Rhinolophus ferrumequinum: one gene and its partners. The main gene of each other region encodes a partner of the protein of the gene in region 3 in a complex. Links are inferred from orthologs where the notes say so. Each region holds a gene or a part of one and is shown on either strand. Other genes may lie near its edges.

Region 1 (6,775 bases), on a different chromosome or scaffold from region 3:
TCTGTGGACTCAGTAGATTGCCCTCCCCAATGTGGATGGGCATAATCCAATCTGTTCAGGGCCTGAAGAGAACACAAAGGGGAGAAAGGAGAATTCAAATCTTTTGCTTCCTACCTGGCTGATTAGCTGCGACATCTGTCTTCTGCCGCTGGACAGGGATTTATTTACACCATTCGCTCCACTAGACCTTCGGACCAGATTAGATTTACGCCACCAGCTTTCCTGGACCTCCAGTTTTCAGACAGTAGATTGTGGGACTTCTCAGTGTCCTTAATCATGTGACCCAATTTCTCATAATAAATCCCTTTCTGTATATTTCCCATTAATTCTGTTTCTCTGGCGAACCGCGACTAATCCAGACAGTACCTGACACTTAGTGAGCATTCAATAAATTAATAAATGAATGACCAACATTAAGAATTATATTTTAAACATATTTATTATGTTATAGGTGAGAAATGCAAACTTCTTTGATGTTCAAAATTTGCATTACTTTACTATTGAGGATGAATATTTTCTATGTTTTTATTAAGCAACTGTATTTTCTCTTTCATGAATTTTTTTCATATTTTTGTCCATTTATTGGACGTTTGTTTTTAATGTACTCATTACAATTGCAACTTATTAATAAATATTTTGTGATTTTTGTTCCTAAAATAGATGTTATCAAATTAAGGAAACTGTCAACATAAAGGCAAATCTTCATAATCACAGAAAGAAAAGTACAAGCAGAAATAAATGTTAGTTCAAATACTGAATGATGCCATCTAGTGGAACACTGATTTTAACTTACTCTCTGGATCAGAGTCCGTAATTTCAATGCCCCCAAATTTAGTATTTATGGGACTTTATTAAAATATGTATTCTACATAGCCTCTCCTCTGCCTGGAGATTTTTAACTCATTTAATGTATAGAATAGCCCAAGAGTGTGTTTCAATAATATTCACATTGGAAACTATAAAAATTCCATGTTAGTTAAAATTAAGGTGATACTTTATGCTTTCCTTTTTCATCAGCATTTTCACCAATTTCACCATAATAAGTAATTTTGCTGCTGATAACATTCTTTTAAATGAGTAGTCTATGCCAGCCCCTGTGCTAACTGCTTTACTTGTATTATTTTATTTAATCCTCCCAACAGCTGTAATAAAGTAGGTACTATTATAATGCTACAGCCAGGTGTACCTGGGAGATATCACAGGTTTGGTTCTAGACCACCATAAAAAAACAAGTATCATAATACAGAGAGTTGTAATCTCGCTGGTGGAAGGTCTTGCCTTCAGTTTGTAGAAAATGCAACATCTGTGAAGCATAATAAAGCCAAGTGCAATAAAACCAGGTATGCCTATATTTTAGACGATTGAGGCAGAGAGTTTAAGTATCTTCCCCAAGGTCACACAGCTAATACGGTACCTGAGCCCATAGCCCATCGTGTTATTACATGTGTGTACAGGGCTCTGTGATAAGGAAGATCATAGTCACACCAATAGTCAAAAAAAAGACTAATGATTTTACAATTCTATACTGTCACCTACCTTCAGCTTAGTATACTACATGCAAAACTTAGTTGCATTCCTTAATTACTGAGAGCCGTTAAGGAACATTTTGCTTTGACATTTTGCAACTTGTATTTACATGGTTTGGATTAATACACTTTTATGTTCCTTACATATTAGTTGTAGATTTTTGCTGCTATAAATTTGAAGATGTTTTCAGTACTTTGCTGTTACTCTCCATTTTTCCCCAATACTAATATAAATGAAAGTAAACTGATCTGCTTCAAGCCTTCTATGTGGAGGCAAACTGAAACTAATTTATTTATAACTGGTTAGCAAATCCAGTTGATAGGGATCTGTCAGGCAGGCCAGGCAGCTGAGGCTAACGAAGCTGGCCTTAACCACGCATGCCTGCCCCTACCCACACCTAGCCTGCCCAGCCTGGCCTGGCCCACTTAGTGCTGGCAGAAATCAAGCTCTGCTTCCCCATACCTCACTGAAACGTATCTTTCCTATAATTCACTCTCTCCCTAGGGCCCACAGTATCAACTAACTACAAACTGAAAAATTAATTGCTGCTACTGCCCTCGGAGGAAATAATGTGACGATAACATAGGAACTTTGAAATTGTCCTTCCTGAGGCTACAAACCTGACAACTGCCCTGAGCTGAAATCTTCTGAACACTAGTGAACAAAGGGTGTTAAATAATGTAGTAGATTTTAAAAAATAGAGTGAGCAAACAATGTAAAATTTTCTCAGTTTATTGTTACATTGCTGAGTGGAAGAGAAGTTTGTGTATGTATATCCCTCACCCTCATTCCTACCTCCCAGGAGCTCAAAGTGTGAAATGGTAAAGCCCATTGATGTCAAGAAGGTTCAAGTAAATATTCAGCAAAACAAAGGGGGAAAAATGATGACTAACAAAAAATCTTGTAGTGTATTGAACTGGGAAGAACAGAGGAAATAAAAATAACAATAGATAACATTAATTGAGCATTAATTTGTTCCAGGCAATTTTCTAAATGTTCGGAATGCATTAGGACATTTTAATCCCCACAAGGGGATTTCATTAGGTAGGTATAATTATGAATCTTATTATACAGATAAGAAACCTGAGTAATTAAGTCATTTGCTGGAGTCACTTAGCTGGTAAACTATGGACCTGGAACCAAACTGTCAGGCCCCAGAACCCCAAATCCTTATCTACTAAACCGTAAGAAAGAGATCAAACCTATATCAATTCCTTGGAGAGTCAGAGACAAATATAGGGCGAAAAATCCACTAAATGGATCACCCCCTTAACTAATGGACATCTGCATGATCACGCAGTTATTTAGAGTCCTCGATGTCTCCAAGCTCATTTATACAAGTAAATTAATTGTGAGTTATTATATAATTGAATTCATGAATCCCTCAGGGTAAGAATCTGGATGTCTTGGAACGTTAACAAGACCAAGCCATTCTTTTCAGGTTCTTAAATCTTTTTAAATGAGAGAAGAAAAAGAAATTTGCCAAACACGGTTACAGGAACTGTGATATAATAAAGATTTACATAAAACAAATTAATGCTTTTAACATACCCAACATGACAGTGTTTGAAACTTCATTTGGGAGATAACCACATAGGTCCAAGACTAATAGTGTGTGACTGTGAAGTCCGGCCAATGTTTCCTGGCAGCCTGCGACCGTTTCTGGTGAAAACTCAAGGAACCCCGACTTATGCATTGGTTTTGTTTGTAAATGGTAAACGCGGTGGAACAGCCACCAGACGCCTCCGGTAGCAGGTCACGCTCAGCACTCTTATCGAGCAGTGCTGCGGCTAAAAGCAGTCGGGAGTGCCCACGGAACCAAAGCGCTCGGCCCCGCCTGCCCGGGGCTGAGTTTCCAGAGCACCGGGGGGCGGGGACTGGCCTGTCGGCTGGAAGTGCGGAAATCGCCTAGAGCGGCCCGAGCTGGCGAAGGGCGCGGTGAGAGGCGGTCGCGGGCTGCCAGACCATGCTGAGTGGAGCGAGGGGCAGGCTCGCCTCAGTGCTGCGGCAGACACGCGCGCCGTCGTTCGTGGTCGCCCGTAGGTGCCTGCGCGTGTCGAGGTCGCGGTCGTCGGCGGACGGGAGTGAGAGGGGGAAAGTGCCCCAAGCTTTCGACCCGGCGCTGCTGGAGTTCTTGGTGTGCCCGCTCTCCAAGAAGCCGCTCAAGTAAGATTAGCCGGCTGCGTTTCCTTTCATGGCCTCCCATTGCGGGGAGGAGGCAAGGGGACCGCGCGGCCGCTTGCAGCCGTGGGGGAGCCTTTCAGGTCAATCCGGGTAGTCTCCGCTGCCATTTTCTGGGGGCCCGCCAGTTCCCACGCATCTCCCTCTGTGGCAGGAAAGGCGGGAGGAGAGCCAAGCCCCAGGCCTCCCAAATCCAACCGCCGACCCGCAGGCCTGAATAGAAACTTAGAGGTTCGCCACGGACTGGGCGTTAGAATTGCCGGGGTACCTTTTAAAAGTGTAGATTCCCAGGCAATATCCCAGGCGACCGAGTCGGAAGGTCTGAGGGCAGGGCCTGAGCAATTCTGTATTTTCTTAGAAAGACGCAAAGTGTATAATCTAATACACAGCCAGGTTTATGAAGTAGTGGGATTCAGGAGTAGTCCATAGCATTCACGTTTTTAAGCCAAGATGATGGAAAAAAAAATACCGTAGTAGCCTCCAGATTCTTGTGAAAATGTCTACAACTGATGCCTGACTATCTTAAGCGTGTAAACTACGTGTGCTGCCCTTTGGCTTTTAGTTCTGGACTAGCTGGTTTTGTAAAGGCCTCCTTAACCTTTAGCTTACAATCCTTAGGATAAACAACTACAGTTCCAGGTTGCTAAAACTGAATTTTGACAACACGAGTATTGCAGATTGAATATACTGAACATCAAGATGTTATGAGTGGCTAGCTTTGGGTGGTAGATTGCTAATAATTTTAATTTTCATCTTTTTGCATTTCTTTCTAAATTTTTCCTATAATTAACATACTCAATTTTCTTAAACCTTCAAATTATCATTTGATCTACCTTTTAGCTAATTGTGTAACTAGCTCACTGCAGATTGGTTTTCCAATTTTCTCATTTCTGCCTTTTCAGCTTTCACAAACTTTTGTGTACTTTGATTTTTCAGAGGTTTTCTTCTAATGGATCAGTTAGGCTGCTCTAGTACGCCTGTATTCTAAAACAAGGAAGTTGAAATTTTCTCTGTCCCAGTAGTAAATTAACTGGGACGGTTTTGGAGATGACCAGAGTAATGAAGGAATGTTTGGATGAAAAAGGGAGAGCTTTTCTGACTGGTATTTTAAAAAATTAAGGCGTAGCTTGCGAATAAAGTGAAAAAAATATGAGAAACTGACTAAAATGGGAACGATTAGAGATTCATTTTCTATGAGAAATGGTTTGACTATTGCTGCTTGTAGAATTAAGTTTTTTTGTTTTGTTTTGTTTTTCTTTTTTAATTTATTGGGGTGACAATTGTTAGTAAAATTACATAGATTTCAGGTGTACAATTCTATAATACATCATCTATAAATCCCACTGTGTGTTCACCACCCAGAGTCAGTTCTCCTTCCATCACCATATATTTGATAGAATTAAAAGTTTAATTCTGCTTTTCTGGGATTAACTCTGAAGAATTGGATAAACAGTGGTGTTTATTAAACATCAAGCTCTTCCAAGCATTTTGTTTTCCACGATTCATTTTATTTTTCTTTTCCCTCAGATACGAAGCATCAACAAATGAATTGGTTAATGAAGAATTGGGAATAGCCTATCCAATTATTGATGGGATTCCTAATATGATACCACAAGCTGCTAGGATGACACAGCAAAATAAGAAACAAGAAGATACGGAGCAACACTAGATCATAATTAAAAACAACAAACACAACTAAATTTTCTTAATACCATCTACGTTTTAAAAAGTCAGGGTGGCAGGTAATAAGTGGAGGAGAAGAATGTTTCTCTCTCTTCCTGTGTTGACTGTCCTTATTCCATTGGTCTCTTTAGCAGGACTGTTCTACTCGGCCTCTGTGGAAGAAAACTTCCCACAGGGCTGCACCAGCACAGCCAGCCTGTGCTTTTATAGTCTGCTCTTACCCATTACTGTACCAGTTTATGTGTTCTTCCACCTTTGGACTTGGATGGGCATTAAACTCTTCAGGCATAATTAATGCAGCTAGAGCCCAGATGGTACATACATTAATGCTATGTTGAGTGTCTATATCTGAAAGCTCAGCTGTATGGAAATACCAGGCACACGCCTAATTTGTAGGAAAGATGCTTTACCTTACTTCTGTCAGACTTAGGACTATGGGATCTAATTTATAACGGCTATGTCAGAAGAAACATTTCAACAAAAGTGTGTTGTTTGAAATTATAGTCCTGACCATCATCTGATGACTTTATTTCTTACCCCATTCATCTGAAAGTTCATTTGAAATTTTATGTTTTAGAGTAGAAGTCTTTGGTAAAGTCACGTTACAGATGACTGCAGTAAATTCCACCAGAGCTATGTTAGAATAGTTGGAGAGAAACGCATTTGAACTAGTGTGATATAAAACTACAATAAAGTGGAAATTTTATGGACTTGCAGAAATTCTGAGTTTGTAAAATTCATTTCTTTGGTATCAAATGCTTACATTACTAATAAGACAACACTTTTCCATAAAAGTTTTCATGGTTTTGTATATTTTGTTTTTGGTCTCAAGAATGTGGGTCTAAGGAAGGGAAAAGTGAAAAAGTATTCTAAAATTTAAAATGTAGGCTATTTTTAGACACTTAATAGCCAAATAGAATAATTTCCCAGGAAAGTATGTACTTTTGGAGGTAGAGGTAGGGTTAGAAGACTTGCAAATAGCTGTGTCCTATTGCACTTACAGCTGTGTTTTGAGCCACATTTTAGTTTATTTTCCTGCCTTAGGAGACCTGTTTAGCACTACTAAGGGCATGAGTATCAGAGACATTAATAGTTCCTGATTTTCCAGAACTTTCAACAAGACTGATAGAGAATAGTACAATAACTATTTTAGAGGTATAACAAATGTTTCAGTAGTTACCCTAAAGAAACTAAGAATTGAATATACTAAACTTAATTGATTCTTACTAGAATCTTAAAGTAGTTTAACAGAAGCTTTAGACAGTGATTCTTATCCATCAAAAGAACGTGAAACCATGCCGTAAAATGCAATACAGCTTTGTTCTCATCCACTGAGTACTGTTAATGGCAATATGATACAGACCCCAAATACAATTGTATACAT
Region 2 (6,878 bases), on a different chromosome or scaffold from region 3:
CACTCATCCCCACGCTCACTCCATCCCACCCCCGGCCTCCACGTGCCTCCTGTGCCAGGTATGCTTCCATCTCAGGCTCTGCACTTGCTGTTCCCACTGCCTGGAGCACTAGATCGGTGGATGTGTATACTTCTCCCTCCTTCACCTCATTCAGGTTTTCTTGCAATGTCTCCTTCTTAGAGAGGCCCTTCTGACTGTGCTCTGTAATAGTACACTCTGCTGCCCTTTAGCCACTTACCTGCCTATGTTTTTCTTCACAGCACTTCTCACTACTTTATATCTTAAATATTTGCTTGATTGGTTCTTGTCTGTCTCCCAGCACTTCATAGAATCTGCCTGTTTTGTTCATAGAACACTGCTTGATGTCTAGTAGGTTCTCAATACATATCTGTTAGAAGAAGAACCAGGAACCCCTTCAACACACCACTGCCACAGCTCTTAGTTAAAGCTAAGCTCCCAATTACTGAATCCCCAGAATCAGCTGCCAGGCCTGTTCCTGGTCCTTCCTCCCTCAGGCTATCTTCTTGTCCCATCTTGGTCTCCTCTCCCCTACCAGCACCCAGCCCTTTCTCCAATCAGCTGCACCATCTCGGATCTACCATTGCCTCCTAAAGCCTGGCTGTAATTTTGAGAGTGTGTGTTTTGTTGATTACAGGTGTGTCTGTCCTGTGGCCCCAATGGAATGGTGGGTGCCCTGAGGACAGGAATGCAGTCAACACAACCTGACCACCTGGAACCTTTCCAAGGACCAGTAATAACCTTGGCACCTGTGGGCACACAGAAAGCTCTACTGTCTGACATGATACACACAAGCACATATGGGGGTCACCTACTCCTCTAAGGGGTGAAGCTGCTGACTTGAGGGACCAACCCCCACGTCCCACCCCCCCCCCACACACACACACAAATACTTTGAAGGGGTCTTTAACAGCCTGGCCTGCTTTTCCAGCTTCATCTCCTGCCGCTCCCCAGGAAGCCGTCTTTGTCCCAGGGACAGCCACAGAGGATTACTCACCAGACTCTCAGCCTGTGTGCCTTTGTTCACGCTTTCCCTTGGGCTCGCATGCCCCACCCCCTCACCTGAACAACTCTTAGTCATCTTTCCAGTATCAACTCAGATGTCAAGGGCTCTCTGAAGTCTTCACACACACACACCAGCCCTGTCAATTCCCTCCTCTGTGCTGTGTTGTATGTAAGTTTGCAACTTCCCCCATCTTCTGTGCACTTTAGAATAAAAGCTACCAAATTTGGAATTTGTCTCCCTCTGAAATCAAAGCTTGCAAAAACAGAAAACCCCCACAAACATGAGCGTCGCCATCTTCAGAAGGAATACCTCAGAAAATGGTTTGGGAGTGATGGGAAGGAGGCTGGGGAAATACTGCAGGAGCAAAGGGGCCTCCTCAGCCCTGAGCTGGAACTCATGACAGTGATTCATAACAAGAACAAGACTAACACTTACTGGGTGCCCCCCAAATGCCGCACATTGTTTTAAGTACCCAACCTACCTTATTTCCTTTCATCTTGAAAGCAACCCTACGAGAGAGAGGATCAGTTATTGATTCCATTGTGCAGCTGAGAAAACTGAGGGTCAGAGAGGTTAAGTTACTTGCCCAACGTCACATAGCTAAGTAAAGGACCCAAGTCTGGAAAACTGGGCCCTAAAAGCCCACATTTAAAATCCCCAAGCTGTGCTGCCCCTCATCCCCTGCTCTAATCATGTGTACTGTGCCCTCTTGTAACAGCAGAAGGGTGATTGATGGTCTGCAAAAGATTGGCAAGCAAGAAGCTGGACCATCAGAAACTGCTGGCTTTTTTTATTTTATTTTATTGGGGAATGTTGGGGAACAGTGTGTTTCTCCAGGGCCCATCAGCTCCAAGTCAAGTTGTCCTTCAATCTAGTTGTGGAGGGTGCAGCTCAGCTCCAAGTCCAGTCGCTGTTTTCAATCTTAGTTGCAGGGGACGCAGCCCACCATCCCATGCAGGAATTGAACCTTGTTGTTGAGAGCTAGCACTCTAACCAACTGAGCCATCCAGCCGCCCCCAGAAATGGCCGGCTTTCGTCCAGGGCTAGCCAAGGCCAAAGACCCTGTCCGTGTTTGGCAGATGACAGTGTCTGGAGTAGTTATATTTCCTGGGACCAGGAAAGCTGAGTCAGTTTCCCTGGAGACCGTCAGATGCTAATCTGTCCTTCCCTCTGCCCTTCATCTTACATTTACAGGCCTGCTGGGTTTCCCACACTGTGCTTGGTCCTGGAGATACACTGGTCCTGGGCGGACCAAGCAGGGAAACAACAAACCTCCAGCTGGATATGGTAAGTGCCATCTAGAAAAGAGGCTATGGGAGCTCAGAGAAGGAAGATGGTGAACAACGCTGCAAGACAAGGTCAAGTGCCAGGAAGGCTGGTTGGAGGACCTGATGCTTAAGCTCAACATTAGAGAAATATGTGCCCACATTTTCTTGTGGCATTATTAGGGTTTCACTTTTCACATTCAATTTTTTTGTTGTTGTTTAAATGGGGCACAGCTCACAGTGATCCATGCGGGGATCGAACCGGCAACTTTGATATTACTAGCACCACGCTCTAACCAACTGAGCTAATCAGCCACACCCACATTCAATATTTTTTCATGCACTAGGAATTAATTTTGGTGTAAGATGTGAGGTTGAAATCTAACTGAATTTACTTTTTCGAATGGTAACCTAGTTGCAAATGGTTTTCAAGCAACTCATCTTTCCTTACTCTCTTGAGTTGCCCTCTCTATCGTATACTAAATTGGTATATGTTTGATCTGTTTCTTCACTTTTTATTCTGTTCCGTTGATCTCAGGAGGGAGGTACTAGATTGCAGTGGCAGGGCTTGCAGCTCTAAAGTCAGATTATCTGGGGTGTGCCTCAGTTTCCTCATTTGTGAAATGGAGATAATAATAGTTCCTATTTCATATGATGGCTGTGATGACAGAATGAGATAATGCACAGAAAGTACTCATTACAGTGCTTGGCAGAGTAATCCATCAATGAATGTCAGCTGTCATGGTGGTTACTATGATGGTTCCTGCCCACCCCTGGGCCAGGAACTCAGGGGGGTGAAATTACTAAGCACATACCTTTGAGCTAATGGGACAGCTCTGCTTCTGCTACTTACTATGCATGACCTCAGGCAAGGTACTCACCTTTTACTATCGCTCTCTGTTCTGGTTTCCTCACTCTTACATGGAGATATAAAAGTACCTACGGCGGCGTGTATATAAAACATGAGTGTTGGACAGGGCATGACACATAATGGCCCCTCAATGAATGTTTACTCTTCTTCTGCAGATTATTATTACAACGTTATAATTTATTAGGTGTCTTTATGTGTTGTAGTCCCTTCTCATTATCTTCCCCCCAAAAATGTTCTGGGGAGTGGCAGTTGTTCAGAGCCAGGTCTACTGTGGGTGAATAAAACAGAATTTCCGGGTCTGCCAAGCTGTTGCCTAGCCCCTGGCCTGTGCTGAAAGTAGCTGAGACCAGTGAGGTCTTGAGTGAACAACCAATAGGATTTTGGGGGGAATGGGGAAGGGAGGGGGTGGGGCTTTGAAATTCCTATAGCAGGTTTTCAAAAATGTTTTTATTTTGTCTTAATTCTTACTTTAACAAAGGAATTTGCATAGTTTAAAAAGCCAACATTTCTGCAAGGCATTTAATGAAAACTCAGCCTCCTGCTCCACTCTCCCGCCCCTACACACATGCCCTTTCATAAACCATTCTCAAGTTTCTTGGCGGCTTCTTTTGGTATGTCCCTCTTCATTTCTAAATAATATGCTTATATTATTATCTTTTTTTCTATTTTAGATATACTCAGTTGACTGCCTGCCATGGACGATGAGGATGTAGTTCTCTCCCCACCTCCACCCTCTCACTTCAAATGTATTGCAATTTTTAGTTAACTCAGTCTCTCAGTGTTCACATTATTATGGCTGTGAAAATATTCTTCACAGCTGAGTTATGTAGTGTTTGTACGAAGACTCCGTAAGTCTGTAAAAACTGCTTTTGTTAATCAACATGAAGGACATAGGGCTGAGAAACTTCATTCTCTAAAATCATGGTCATAAACTTTGCTGTTTAAAATCAGTGAGAATGGAACGTCCCACTCTTGCGTGGAGGTCAAAGCCAGGTGGATTACTTTGGCACAAAGCAGCAGCGATTTCCAACATGGGTGCCAAGCTCCAGATAATGGGGTTTTGGACACAACAGTCTAGATTCATCTTAATTGTGTTATCTATTACATAATTATCTACAATTAATTATCTTAATTTTGTTTGCCAGGTGGACCCTCAGTCCACTTCTCAGGCGAGGCTTGCTGTTGATTCCCTCACTTACGTCCATGCTTACCTTGAACCTATCAAAACACTGCTTTATTTCAGTATTACCTAAACTCCACCTTTCCCACATCCTGTAAGGAACCTGTTTTTTCCTTTGACGAGCCGCTCCTCAGCTCTGCTGGTGTGTGGGCTCTCTCTTGGAGCAGCAAGTTAATAAGCCTAACTCTGTCCAACATACAGTATGTTCCTACTGGTCTTTATCAGGCAGGTTTTTATCAGTTCTTTCTTTCCGTGCTTTTATAGCTGTTTCCCTGAAGTTGATAATTGCCTGACCTTTGCTTTTATTTGGTTTTCTATATACCTATCAGAAACTCATCCACCAAGCTCTTTGAAAGATGTGTGGACCTTCCCTCAATACCTTAAGTGTGTCAGGTAATTCCTCTGTCCCCAAACTTTTTTCTCTAAAGACGACCTCCCGGAGCCCTTCTTCCCCTGGCTCCAAGCTGTACTGGTTGCTCCCCTGCGTTCCTTTTGAAAAATATGACCACCTTTGTCCTAACACCTATCTCAAGCAGTGGTCAATGCATCTGTGTACCTGACTCCTCCTTCCCACCTCCGCCCCAGGAGGGGCCCAGTACCTTGATATCTCTATTTCTCCAAAACCTATCATGGAGCTCAAGAAACGTTCGAATGCATGAATAAAAGAACAGATAAAAGAATGAACCAGTGGGATTTCTCTGTAGAAGTGAAGTTTAAGAGAAACGACGTTACATTCCCATTTTGTTGCAAGGTTTATCAGTGGCCTCAGGCTTTCTGCAAGCCCCACGCCAGCTTGGAGCGGGGTCCTGAGGGAGAGAAGCAGCACCGACAGCCCTCAGGACCCAAGGCGGTTTGCAGAGCAGAGCCAGCTGAACTCAGCTCAGCGAAACGGCGCGGGCCAAGAGCACTCCGAGCGCCACCACGAGGACTACAACTCCCAGAAGGCCGCGCGGAGGCGGAGCGCGAGCCGCGGAGGACTCCTGGACGTGACGTCAGAAGTGCGCGGAAGGGGAAGCGCGGCAGAGTACGTGCAGCTTGAACGCTGAATGAGGTGGGCGAGAGAGATGGCGGAGCGGTGCTGAGGGTAGGTGAAACGGGGCGGGGTAGTGAGGGGTGGAATGGGTCTCGGATGAAGTGAGGGTCGCGAGGCGGAAGGACCTCGAACTCTGCTTTCTCTTCCCGCAGCGACCATGACGAAATTAGCGCAGTGGCTTTGGGCACTGGCGCTCCTGGGCTCCGTCTGGGCGGCCCTGACCATGGGAGCCCTGGGCCTGGAGCTGCCCTTGTCATGTCGGGAGGTCCTGTGGCCACTGCCCGCCTACTTGCTGGTGTCCGCCGGCTGCTATGCCCTGGGCACTGTGGGCTATCGCGTGGCCACTTTTCATGACTGCGAGGACGCCGCCCGCGAGTTGCAGAGCCAGATACAGGAGGCCCGAGCCGACTTAGCCCGCAGGGGGATGCGCTTCTGACACCCTCACCCCTTGGCTCCGGGACAGCCCGCCCCTCTGTCCCCCATTAAAGAGCGCGCTTACTCCCTAACTTTGTTTTCAGTTTGAATATGGGGAATGGGAATTGGGGCTTCTGTGTACCAGCTGTGGAGAAGTGAGAGGCGGGCGAGCCACCTTCCTGAGGCCATTTGAGCCTTTATGTTTGCAGCCTGCTGGTGTTTCTGCTTTTTGCTCCAAAGGAGACAAAGACCCCCTTCTCTTCTCAGGATGGAGATGTTTTTCACATTTCTGGTCCTTTTGACCCTGTCAGGAAATATTTGAAGCTGAACTTACCAGCTTTTTCACAATATCCAAGCTCTGTTCTTTTTAAGGCCTTCCTAGGTCACCCCTAGGTTGCTCTTGGTTCTTTCTCCTTCTCTGCTGAGCCAACCTAATCAGCCCAAGAGTAACTGTGGATCTGGTCGTGCACCTCTACCCTTCACCCAACCAGGCAGGTTGAGAAGCACTGAAGAGCCATGATGGGCAGGGATAGGGAACAGTTTATTTTAAGGCACATTCTAAAGATTTCACCCCAACCCCAAAATTAAAAAATATAATTTCCGAAAAATAAGTGTTTCATCTCCCAGGGCCCGCGCAATCTTCTAAGTAAAGCTCTTTCTTTGGTCTCTCAATTCAAAGTTGTCTCTTTTTCTTGCCCATAACCCATGGCACCTGTGAAACTGGTCAGCAGAAACAGCTGAAAGAAGGAGCTCTCTTTGGTAACAGGTGGGCATTAAGGTGCCCCGTGGTCAGGTGAACTGCCTCAGGTCTGCAGGAGCTGATAATTCCTGTCTTGTGCCTGGGGGTATTTCCAGAAAAGCCAGAGGCGAATGAAGCTGGTTAGGATTCCTGGAAGGTTGGGTACCTGGAACCACAAGGGCTGCAATGAGGCAAGGAGCTGATTTCCCACCTTGTACACCTGTCAGCCCATCCTGGTGCTGCTTACCATGATGTAGGGATCTCTGAGTCGAAACCCATAGAGGGTCCAGGAGGCAGAGGCAAGGAGGGTGGCAATGGTGAGTGAGAAGGAGAGACGCTGGGTCGATTTAGT
Region 3 (8,376 bases):
CCCCCATCTGTGCTGGGACCCTCCTGGCCCGGTGGGGCCCGGGCGCCACTGTGAATATTCTCTCTGAACCACTAAAGGGCAGGACACACAGGCCCATGAAGTAGGTGGGCAAGACAAAGATGGCCAGGATGCCCCGCTGGATACCGACATGCCCCCTGGATGAGGACATGCAGCGGCTCCTACACAGGGCTGCTTGTGGCCGAGGGGCCTCTTGCCATGTGTCCCTGCTTGCTCCAGGAGCATCCGCTCAGCCATGTCCTGGCCGGGCTTTGTTCCATGGCCCCCTTGCCCTGGGGGCGAGGGGGGGGCACTTCATCTCCAGAATCCTGCCACCGTGGCCCTCTGCTTAGTGCTTCAGCTATCCCTTCCCTGTGCCCTGGGGGTGCCGCTGGCGGCCTCCTCCTGGAAGCCAAGTCCTCAGACCCCACCTACATTCTAGACTGAGACCCCGCCCCCAACGAATGTTCTCCTGCTGCCCTGGCAGCCTGCACTTTGCACACGCTTGTCTTTAGCACAGCCCCGCTGGCCCTCGCCTGCCCTTCCTCTGATCCCTTCCCAGGGGTTCCTGGGTGCTGCCTGCTGTGCAGTCAGCGGCCCAGCTTTAGCAGCCCGGCTGGAACGGGGCACTGCCTCTCCTCCCTCCCGTCAGCTCCAGCTCAGGCCTGAGACCCGTGCCGAGAAGGTTCCCTCTGCCCAGGGCTGGGTCTCGAGCAGCTGGTTTCCTGTAGGAAGCCTGGAAGGAGCCTCCCAAGCCCGTGGAGGTCGGGGGCCTGACCGTGCTGGGCAAGCACTGCCCCATTTTTCCCCTCAGGGTCAGCTGGCCCTGGCCTGGGACCAGTGCTAGAGGGGCAGGTGGGCTGTGACCGGACTGGCTGGAGCTGGCTTCCTGGCCAGAAAAGCCTCAGCCCTCCTCTGAAAGCACCCCTCTCTTTGGGCAAGGGAGAGGCAGGCCCTTTAAGGGGGGCTTTTCCAGCAGGGAGCAGTCTGGCTCTGCCCCTGCGCCTTGCTAACGCCTCTGCTCTGAGCACTTTCCTCCCGGTCCTCGTTATTTGCTTGAAGGTGGGTTCTGGCTGCCAGCCAGCCTCTGGACAGACTCCCCTGCCACTCTTAATTTCACTCATCTTTGTATAAACCCAGCAGGCTGGTGTTTACTTGGCCCTATACTTTTTTTTTCCTTTCCTCTTTTTTTCTTTATTTCTTTTTCTTTTTTTTTTTTTTAGGGTTCACAGTTTGATATTTTCTCCTCCCCCAGGTGAGGGGAGGTGGTTCTGTTCTCTGCCCTACCCGCTGGCTGGGTCCCAGCAGGGCTGGGGATCTGGATGGAGAGCCAGGATACGGGTTCTCTCTCTCGTAGGGGTTAGGGTGGAGGTGCCCTCCCCAGGGTGGGAAGGGTCCTTTCTGCCCAGCTGACAAGAGTTGGAGTCATGGTCTTGGAGCCTCCTGGCATTGGAGTCAGAGCATTTCTAGGATTTTGTGGTGGTTGTTATTGTTTTAATCACCTAACTCTTTTAGAAAATGAATGTTAGAAGGTGCCTGCCGAGGCAGGATGGAGCATTTGCTCTGGCTGGAGAAGGCTCTGGTCAGCTCTGTGGGTCCCTTCCTGCCCCGTAGACACCTGGCACTTTAAAAGGGGACCAGCTGCACTGTCTCCAGATGAAGTGGCCCCCAGAAGACGGGGCAGTGCCGCTCTTCCCTCTGTCTGCATGACCTCAGCCCAGTGGGGAGGTGCATTCAAGGTGTATTTGGGGTCTGATTCAAGTTCTGGGGCTTTAGGCATAAAGCAGCTGGCTTTGGTGCTGTTGGGGAGACTCCCCCAAAACAGGAACCCCAGCCCCTCTCTAGGCGAGGTCTGAACTTGACAGTCACCCCAGAAGGAGACAGAGCCTGCCACATTCTCCCATGACAGGCCCTGGGCCGGGGTAATTGGACAACTGAAAATTCGGCCACAACCAAATTGATGGTGGCTGGAGCTGGAGTCCGGAAGCTCCGGCCTCATCCCCATATGGGAGCTCTATTCTTCGGCCCTCTGGTCCCTTCAAGCTCAGTGAATTCGCACTAGGCACCCACAGCTCCTGGACTTAAAAATTCTATATATATAGAGAGAGATAGAATATATTAGAGATATTTTTGGAAAGGAATTGGTCTATGCAATGCCAGTTTGGAATCTTCTTGGAAGACAGTTTTAACATTTTTACTAGGAGATTTAAAGAAAATAAATACAATATTTTTAGGTTATTTTTTTCTAGTCACCCCACAAACTGACCATAGGGCATGATCTGCCAGGATGGAGAATGTCTACGTTTTCCTCTCTTTAGGGAAGTGAGCAGGGAGATGGGGGGGAAGAAAGGTCTTTTTTTTTTTTTAATTCCCCTCTTATCTAACAATGTCGCCACCACCACACCCTAATTCAATGGGCTGTGTTTGTATCCGTCCCAGCTTCTATTGTAGAAAATAACATTGTAAAGGGAAATCAGCCTAGTCAGTGTCTTGGTTTGGGGGACAAAATTAAATGTTGCAGTTTTTGTTTGTTATGGCATGTTGGTTCTTGTTTGTTTGTTTTACCAACTTGACTTTAGGATCAAAGCATCAGATGGAAGCCAGATGTGTAAGGTGATGGTCGGGGGTGGGGAAGGTGTAGGTGGCCAGGGTTCTCCAAGTCCCGGTGCAGTCACAATTGTGACCACCTTTATTACACCAGAGTCCCGGACAGGAAACGGGCCCTGGAGAGTAGTTTCCTGCCAGTCTCAGACCTCAGAGCCCAAGTTCTAACCACTGCTCTACGGACCTCCGCAGTAGTCAGGTGGCTTTGAACAAGCATGCCTGAAGACAGAAAACTGCCTGTGCCTCAGTTTTCTCAGCTGCGGGCTGTGAGGCTGTGGATCAAATGAGAAAGTGGGTGTACAGCCTGACCTATGGGAGGTGCCAAGTTCATTCCCATCCTCTAAAGCCCCAAGCCTGCATTGTCTCCAGGCCTAGGCCCCTCATCCCTGCCCTGTCTCAAGTTACAGAGCAGCCTGCACCAAGCTCTGGGAAAGGCAAGTCGCCCTGGGCCTTTAATGATCTCAGAAGTGGCAGGAAACCTTAGCGGCTTTGAACGGGCCAGAAGGGACCAGACTACCAGGCCTCATCCCTGTCACAGCACTGCATATCCTCACCCCTTCTCAGGGCTGATGTCCAGGCTGATTCTCAGTCCCTTCCTTTGTTCAGTGCACACCTGGGGAGGGAAAAGTTGGCTCCTGACTAAGCCCAAAGTCTCCTGAGACAGAGGGAAGGAATTGGGCTTTAGGCCCAAAAGGTTGCTCCTTTGGAACACAGTCATGCTAAATGAAAAATCAGCATACCAAAGGGCAGGGAATAAAAAGGTTGCTCCAGCAGTTGCCATAGTCAGAGATGGGCTCAGATGACCCAAGGAGGCAGATGCTGCCAGCCAGGTTCAATCTCCACGTGCCCCTCCACCCCCCAAAATGGAGACAGCAGGAGAGCCTCCACACAACCCCTCAGAAGGCCTGGAGTCCTCAGATGCTGAAGGCTAGCATTCTAGGATCTAAAATGTCAAAGAATCTTAAAGCCAGTTGGTTGATTCAAAGCTCCTACTTTGTGCCAAGCCCCATTCTGGGCATTGGGGATACAGCAGTGACCACAGACCCTAGGCTCAGGGAGCTCACAGGTGGGCCACATCAAGTAAATCGGCTAATTAAAACGGTGCTGAGAAGCGTCATCATGGAGACACAGTTGGGGCTGTGGAACACAGAGGAGGGAACCCCCGTCAGGGAAGTTGACTTCCCTGGGATGTGTAGCCCTGATGAGTGAGGAACAACTAGCCCACTAGCTTTGAGGAGACAGTGTTCCAGATTCCAGAGCTGGAGAACACATCAAAGGTGATGAGGCCCAACCTCCCCTTGCTCTCAGAGGAACGGACCTCCAAGCCTGGAGAGGATCCTGCACACGCGGCCATTCCCAAGACCTGCCTGGACTGCTGCTAGCGCTGCCGCAACACCCAGGGCCCCAGAGGCAGACGGTGAGGGAGGAGAGGGTCACCCTGGCCTCGTCCCTGCAGTGAAGACAGGACAGGGAAGCCAGGCGCTGGTAAGGGGACGCCTACCCTTACAGCCAATCGAAATGAGCCCCATCGCAGCAGGCTTGGGCCAGCCCCTCCTCCTCCACCCCCAGCCGGGCGGTGAACATTTTTTGCACCCTTCCCTCAACACACATTAGGGCCTCGGGACCAGGAAATAACTGGCATGCACACGCCAGGTTCTGGTGTCGGCTTCACCACAGACACGAATTGTGATCTCCCGCAAGTCCTCGCCCGTCTCTGAGCCTCATCAGTTTCCCCATCTGAGAAATGAGACTTCCAACTCTCCCCTACCAGATCTCGCTCTGGCTTTGGGACTCTGGGATATTTAGAAATGGGCTTTTCTTCAGGGGCGAGTTCGACAGGACTGAGGCCACGAGTACCAGCCGGTCTGGGTTCCCAACTCGGTCCCATTCTCTAGGGAGATTCGGGAACAACTTGTTCCCCCATACCCTTGAGAAACTACATTTCCCGACATGCAAATGGGGAGGCGGCGCCTGCCTGTCTTGGGCAACGTAGTTCTGGGGCGGCCTTATGTTCGGCGACTCCCGGCGTGCCCCGCAGCCGAGGGCCCAGATGCGGAACCGGATGTGGCTGGCTGCCCCGGTGCGGAGCACCGGGGAAATGGTGAGTTTGTGGCAGAGTGCTGGGGTTGGGGATCCCTGGTTTGTTTAGGAGCCGGAGCTTGGGCACTCGGAACCAGATTGCTCTCCCGCCGGCTCATTGTACAGATAAAAACGCTGAGGAATCAGACTGCGACGCCGCCCCCCCACCCCAGTAGTGCACCTAAATAGAGGCACTTCGTCAATTGAGCCCTCCCTTTTCTCCAGGCCACCGGGACAGACCAGGTGGTGGGACTTGGCCTCGTTGCCGTTAGCCTGATCATCTTCACCTACTACACCACCTGGGTGATTCTCTTGGTATGTGTTCTTCCTCCGCCCTCTCTCACCTTCTCCCATTCCTGGGTCCTGCAGCCGACCCCACTGTGTTAGGTGCTTTACCTGAATATCTTATGAAATCTCCGGAACAACACTGTGAGGAGGATGCCAGTGGTATCCCCATTTTGTAGATGAGGAAGCTGAGGTTCAGGGAGAAGGGTCGGACTCAAGGTCGCGTTCTTAACCGCTGCAGTGTAAAGCCCTGTTCCTGATTTGCTTTCCCTTTGATGGGTCCAATCCTTCTGGTTATTCTGCTGGCTCCCGGGCATGGCAGGTGCCAGTGGCTTTCGTGAGGGCCTTTCGGATGTGTGTGTGGAGCAAGGGTTTGGTGGTTAGTACTTATGTGCAGTGTGTTTGGAGGGCAAAGTCTTGCAGAACTTGGTATCGTTTGGGGAAAATTGTCAGTAAAGAAGATCTTGGAGCCCAAATTGGGAATTAGTTGAGGATTCCTCGTGTACCCTTTGCCCTTGCTAAACTGTGAGGGCATTAGGGCAAGTCCTTCGACTTCTGTTCACTGCCAGGTCCCTAGCACCCACTTAGGGCAGGTACCAGTCAAGTGCACAGTAAACTACCGTGTTTCCCTGAAAATAAGACTGGGCCTTATATTAATTTTTGCTCCAAAAGAAAAATTAGGACGTGTTTTCAGGGGATGTCTTATTTTTTCATGTACAACAATCTACGTTTATTCAAATACAGTCATGTCATCTTCTAGAACATCGTCGTAACGTACTAAGTGCGCCTGTCTGGCTGACGATCTTAACTGGGGCTTATTTTCGGGGTAGGTCTTATTTTCAGGGAAACACAGTATTAAATAAATGAAGGAAGGAAACAAACCAAGGCATCCAAAATGCCATCTTAAACAGAAGCAAATGCTGTCCCAGTGCTTTGAGTGGGTCAGCCCGAGACAGAGGAGGTGGGATGTTGGCTTGGGGGGGCTGGGCAAGGCAGGGAATGCTCACTGGAGCTCTGCCCTCGATGCCAGCCATTCATCGATAGCCAGCATGTCATCCACAAGTACTTCCTGCCCCGAGCCTACGCCGTTGCCATCCCACTGGCCGCCGGCCTCCTGCTGCTCCTGTTTGTAGGTAAGTCATCATGCCACCAACCCTGGGCAGGGTGTCTCCCACCCCTCCATGTGTGGCCACACTTTGGCACTTGCTGTATGTCTGCTTGCGGCTCTTTGCCCCCAATTCACCCCCAGGGTTTTCCTGTTCATCCTTCAGGGCTGCAAGTCAGTCTTCCCATGCCTCAGGCTCTCATGGGATGTCTCCCTTTTTCCGGTTCGCTCCACCGGCATTGCTCTGCTCACACCTCAATCACCTCTCACCCCCTTGTCACCCAGGCTCATGGTTCCTGCACCTCTTTGTCTCCCATGGTTTAGTTTGTGGGCTTCCCAGGACTGGGGCTTTATCATGACTGTGTCCTCACAGGCTGTGGCACTAAGCTGGTGCTCAATAGAGTGGTTTGGATTAGTCAACAATCGGATGACTGGATGATGCAGTCGGTGGGTGGATGCTGGATGTTGAGTGGGCAGGTGGGTGGGTGGATAGGTGGGTGGACAGGTGATGGATTGGGTGAGTAGATGGATAGCTGGGTGCAACTTGTACCCCATAGAATCTGAGAGACTAAATGTAGCAAACTGCCTGTGGCAGGCACTCAGTGGTGTGTTTCGAATGAATGTGGGTGGATGTGTGGCTTGATGGATGGCTAGGGAGATGACCAGGTGGTCTGGAGGGTGGTTGGGAGGGGCTTGGTCCCCTGTATGTGTCATTGTGCCATGCCATGCCCTGCTCTGGCCTTAACAGCAGCCCTGAGCCCCGATCTTATCTGGTCTTTCTGGTCTGTATATTCCAGGAGTGTTCATCACCTATGTGATGCTGAAGAACCAGGTGACCAAAAAGGCTCAGTGAAAGCCCAGCAGGGATGAGGCTGCTGGCCCCTTCTCTGCTTCCCCGCAAGGGCATACCAAGGGCAGGGGTCCACAGGACCTATTCAGGCACTGTGGCGCCCTCAAACCTGGCTGCTCTGCAGACACCCTGAAGGATGGAGCTGTTCAGAACTCACCCCTGACTGACAAGAGCACCCACTGCCCTGCTCACCTTTCCAGAAGCTAGGAGGGAGGAGTACCTGAAGTCTCCCTCTCTCCCCCTTCCGGCTCAGGGCCTGAAAGATGCTAGTCCTCCCTGCCTCACCTTCAGACTCTGTCATTTGTTTTCCTCTGGTTCCACCCTCTTGCCTCAGTTTCCCTCCTGTTACCTGCTGATACTGGATTTGGCAGGTTCTAAGACATCACATGACCTCTCCTCACATGTCCTCCTCCATGAAAGCAGCTTTCCCGGGTCTGACATAGCCCCAGATCCCACAGGACTTCTGGACCTGGAACACCTAGGCGGGGGGACAGACAGGCCCCAGGACCACCGCCAGGCCTCAGGGCGCATTAGAGTGGCCACACTGGGCCCCCAGACCTGCTGCTCGTCATGGAGACCCAGCCCCTCAGTCCTGACACTGGCCTTGGCCTGCTGGGGAGAACTGAACAATAAATGTTTTGGTGTGTTTGTTTCTGTGGCATCCCTGACCAGGAGAGCTGGGCTGCTTGTAGTCCGGAGAGGGTCTAGGAGCTGGCCTCGCACTAGTCTCAGGTCAGGAGACCCTGGTTTGTGCAATGAGGTGCCTCAGGTGCCTCCTGGATCGTCCCTATGCTGGACACGGGATCAGGAGGGAACTGGGACAGATGTGGTTTCAGCTTGTTGCAGCTCATGGCTGGGGAGTCGGTGGAGGCATGGCAGGCTACCAGACCCCATGTCAGCCTCCACCATGCCTCCCCTGTGCCAGCCCAGCCAGCGTGCACTAGGACTTTAGGGAGCCTCAGGCCAGGTCCCTAAAAGCTTAAGCCTGTCCATCCCTCGTACCAGCAGCCGCACTTAGTAGTAGCAATGAGCAGTGAGAGCTGCTACTGAGCCAGAGCAAAGTTGGTTCCATTGTATTCAGGTTGACTGGTCTGGCACAGGCCCCGGCCCTGGCCCCCCAGCAATCCCCCTGAGCCTCTCTGGGCAGCCGGCTCTCCCATTCACAGTGCCTAACGTAAGCCTCCATCCCATCCCACCTTGGAGTTCGCTCTTCTTCCGGTTAGTGGAGGTGTCACCTTCCCAGAACAGGCCAACTGCAGGCATATCTGCCCTGTCCTTTCCCCATCCTCCAGTCCAGGCAGAGCTGCCCACCTGGGCTGTGGGTCCTGTCCTCTCCCACTGCTATAGCAGGAGCCTCCTGTTTCTATGATCCTCCTCTCGTGGGAAGAGCCTCTGCTTCTCAACAAGGTCCTCGCTGCGTTTCATGAGCATGTACCAGGCTCCCACTTAAAGGATC

The links.
Region 1: DPM2 (region 3) and PIGY share a complex: the UniProt entries of both Homo sapiens proteins name them as parts of the glycosylphosphatidylinositol-N-acetylglucosaminyltransferase (GPI-GnT) complex. The link is inferred for Rhinolophus ferrumequinum from reciprocal best matches to the Homo sapiens genes DPM2 and PIGY.
Region 2: DPM2 (region 3) and DPM3 share a complex: the UniProt entries of both Homo sapiens proteins name them as parts of the dolichol-phosphate mannose (DPM) synthase complex. The link is inferred for Rhinolophus ferrumequinum from reciprocal best matches to the Homo sapiens genes DPM2 and DPM3.

The regions. Positions count from the first base shown.
Region 1 is NC_046288.1:42,455,299-42,462,073, reverse strand, and holds PIGY (phosphatidylinositol N-acetylglucosaminyltransferase subunit Y), read left to right. Parts: upstream 1-5,433; 5' UTR 5,434-5,470; coding exon 5,471-5,686; 3' UTR 5,687-5,829; downstream 5,830-6,775. Other genes in the region: PYURF (protein preY, mitochondrial), read left to right, coding at 3,494-3,693, 5,236-5,377. UniProt on the Homo sapiens protein: Part of the glycosylphosphatidylinositol-N-acetylglucosaminyltransferase (GPI-GnT) complex that catalyzes the transfer of N-acetylglucosamine from UDP-N-acetylglucosamine to phosphatidylinositol and participates in the first step of GPI biosynthesis.
Region 2 is NC_046305.1:210,872-217,749, reverse strand, and holds DPM3 (dolichol-phosphate mannosyltransferase subunit 3), read left to right. Parts: upstream 1-5,275; 5' UTR 5,276-5,424; intron 5,425-5,525; 5' UTR 5,526-5,530; coding exon 5,531-5,809; 3' UTR 5,810-5,879; downstream 5,880-6,878. Other genes in the region: SLC50A1 (sugar transporter SWEET1), read right to left, coding at 6,591-6,692, 6,774-6,878. UniProt on the Homo sapiens protein: Stabilizer subunit of the dolichol-phosphate mannose (DPM) synthase complex; tethers catalytic subunit DPM1 to the endoplasmic reticulum.
Region 3 is NC_046295.1:76,946,000-76,954,375, reverse strand, and holds DPM2 (dolichol phosphate-mannose biosynthesis regulatory protein), read left to right. Parts: upstream 1-4,541; 5' UTR 4,542-4,609; coding exon 4,610-4,702; intron 4,703-4,905; coding exon 4,906-4,995; intron 4,996-5,995; coding exon 5,996-6,098; intron 6,099-6,867; coding exon 6,868-6,923; 3' UTR 6,924-7,568; downstream 7,569-8,376. UniProt on the Homo sapiens protein: Regulates the biosynthesis of dolichol phosphate-mannose. Regulatory subunit of the dolichol-phosphate mannose (DPM) synthase complex; essential for the ER localization and stable expression of DPM1.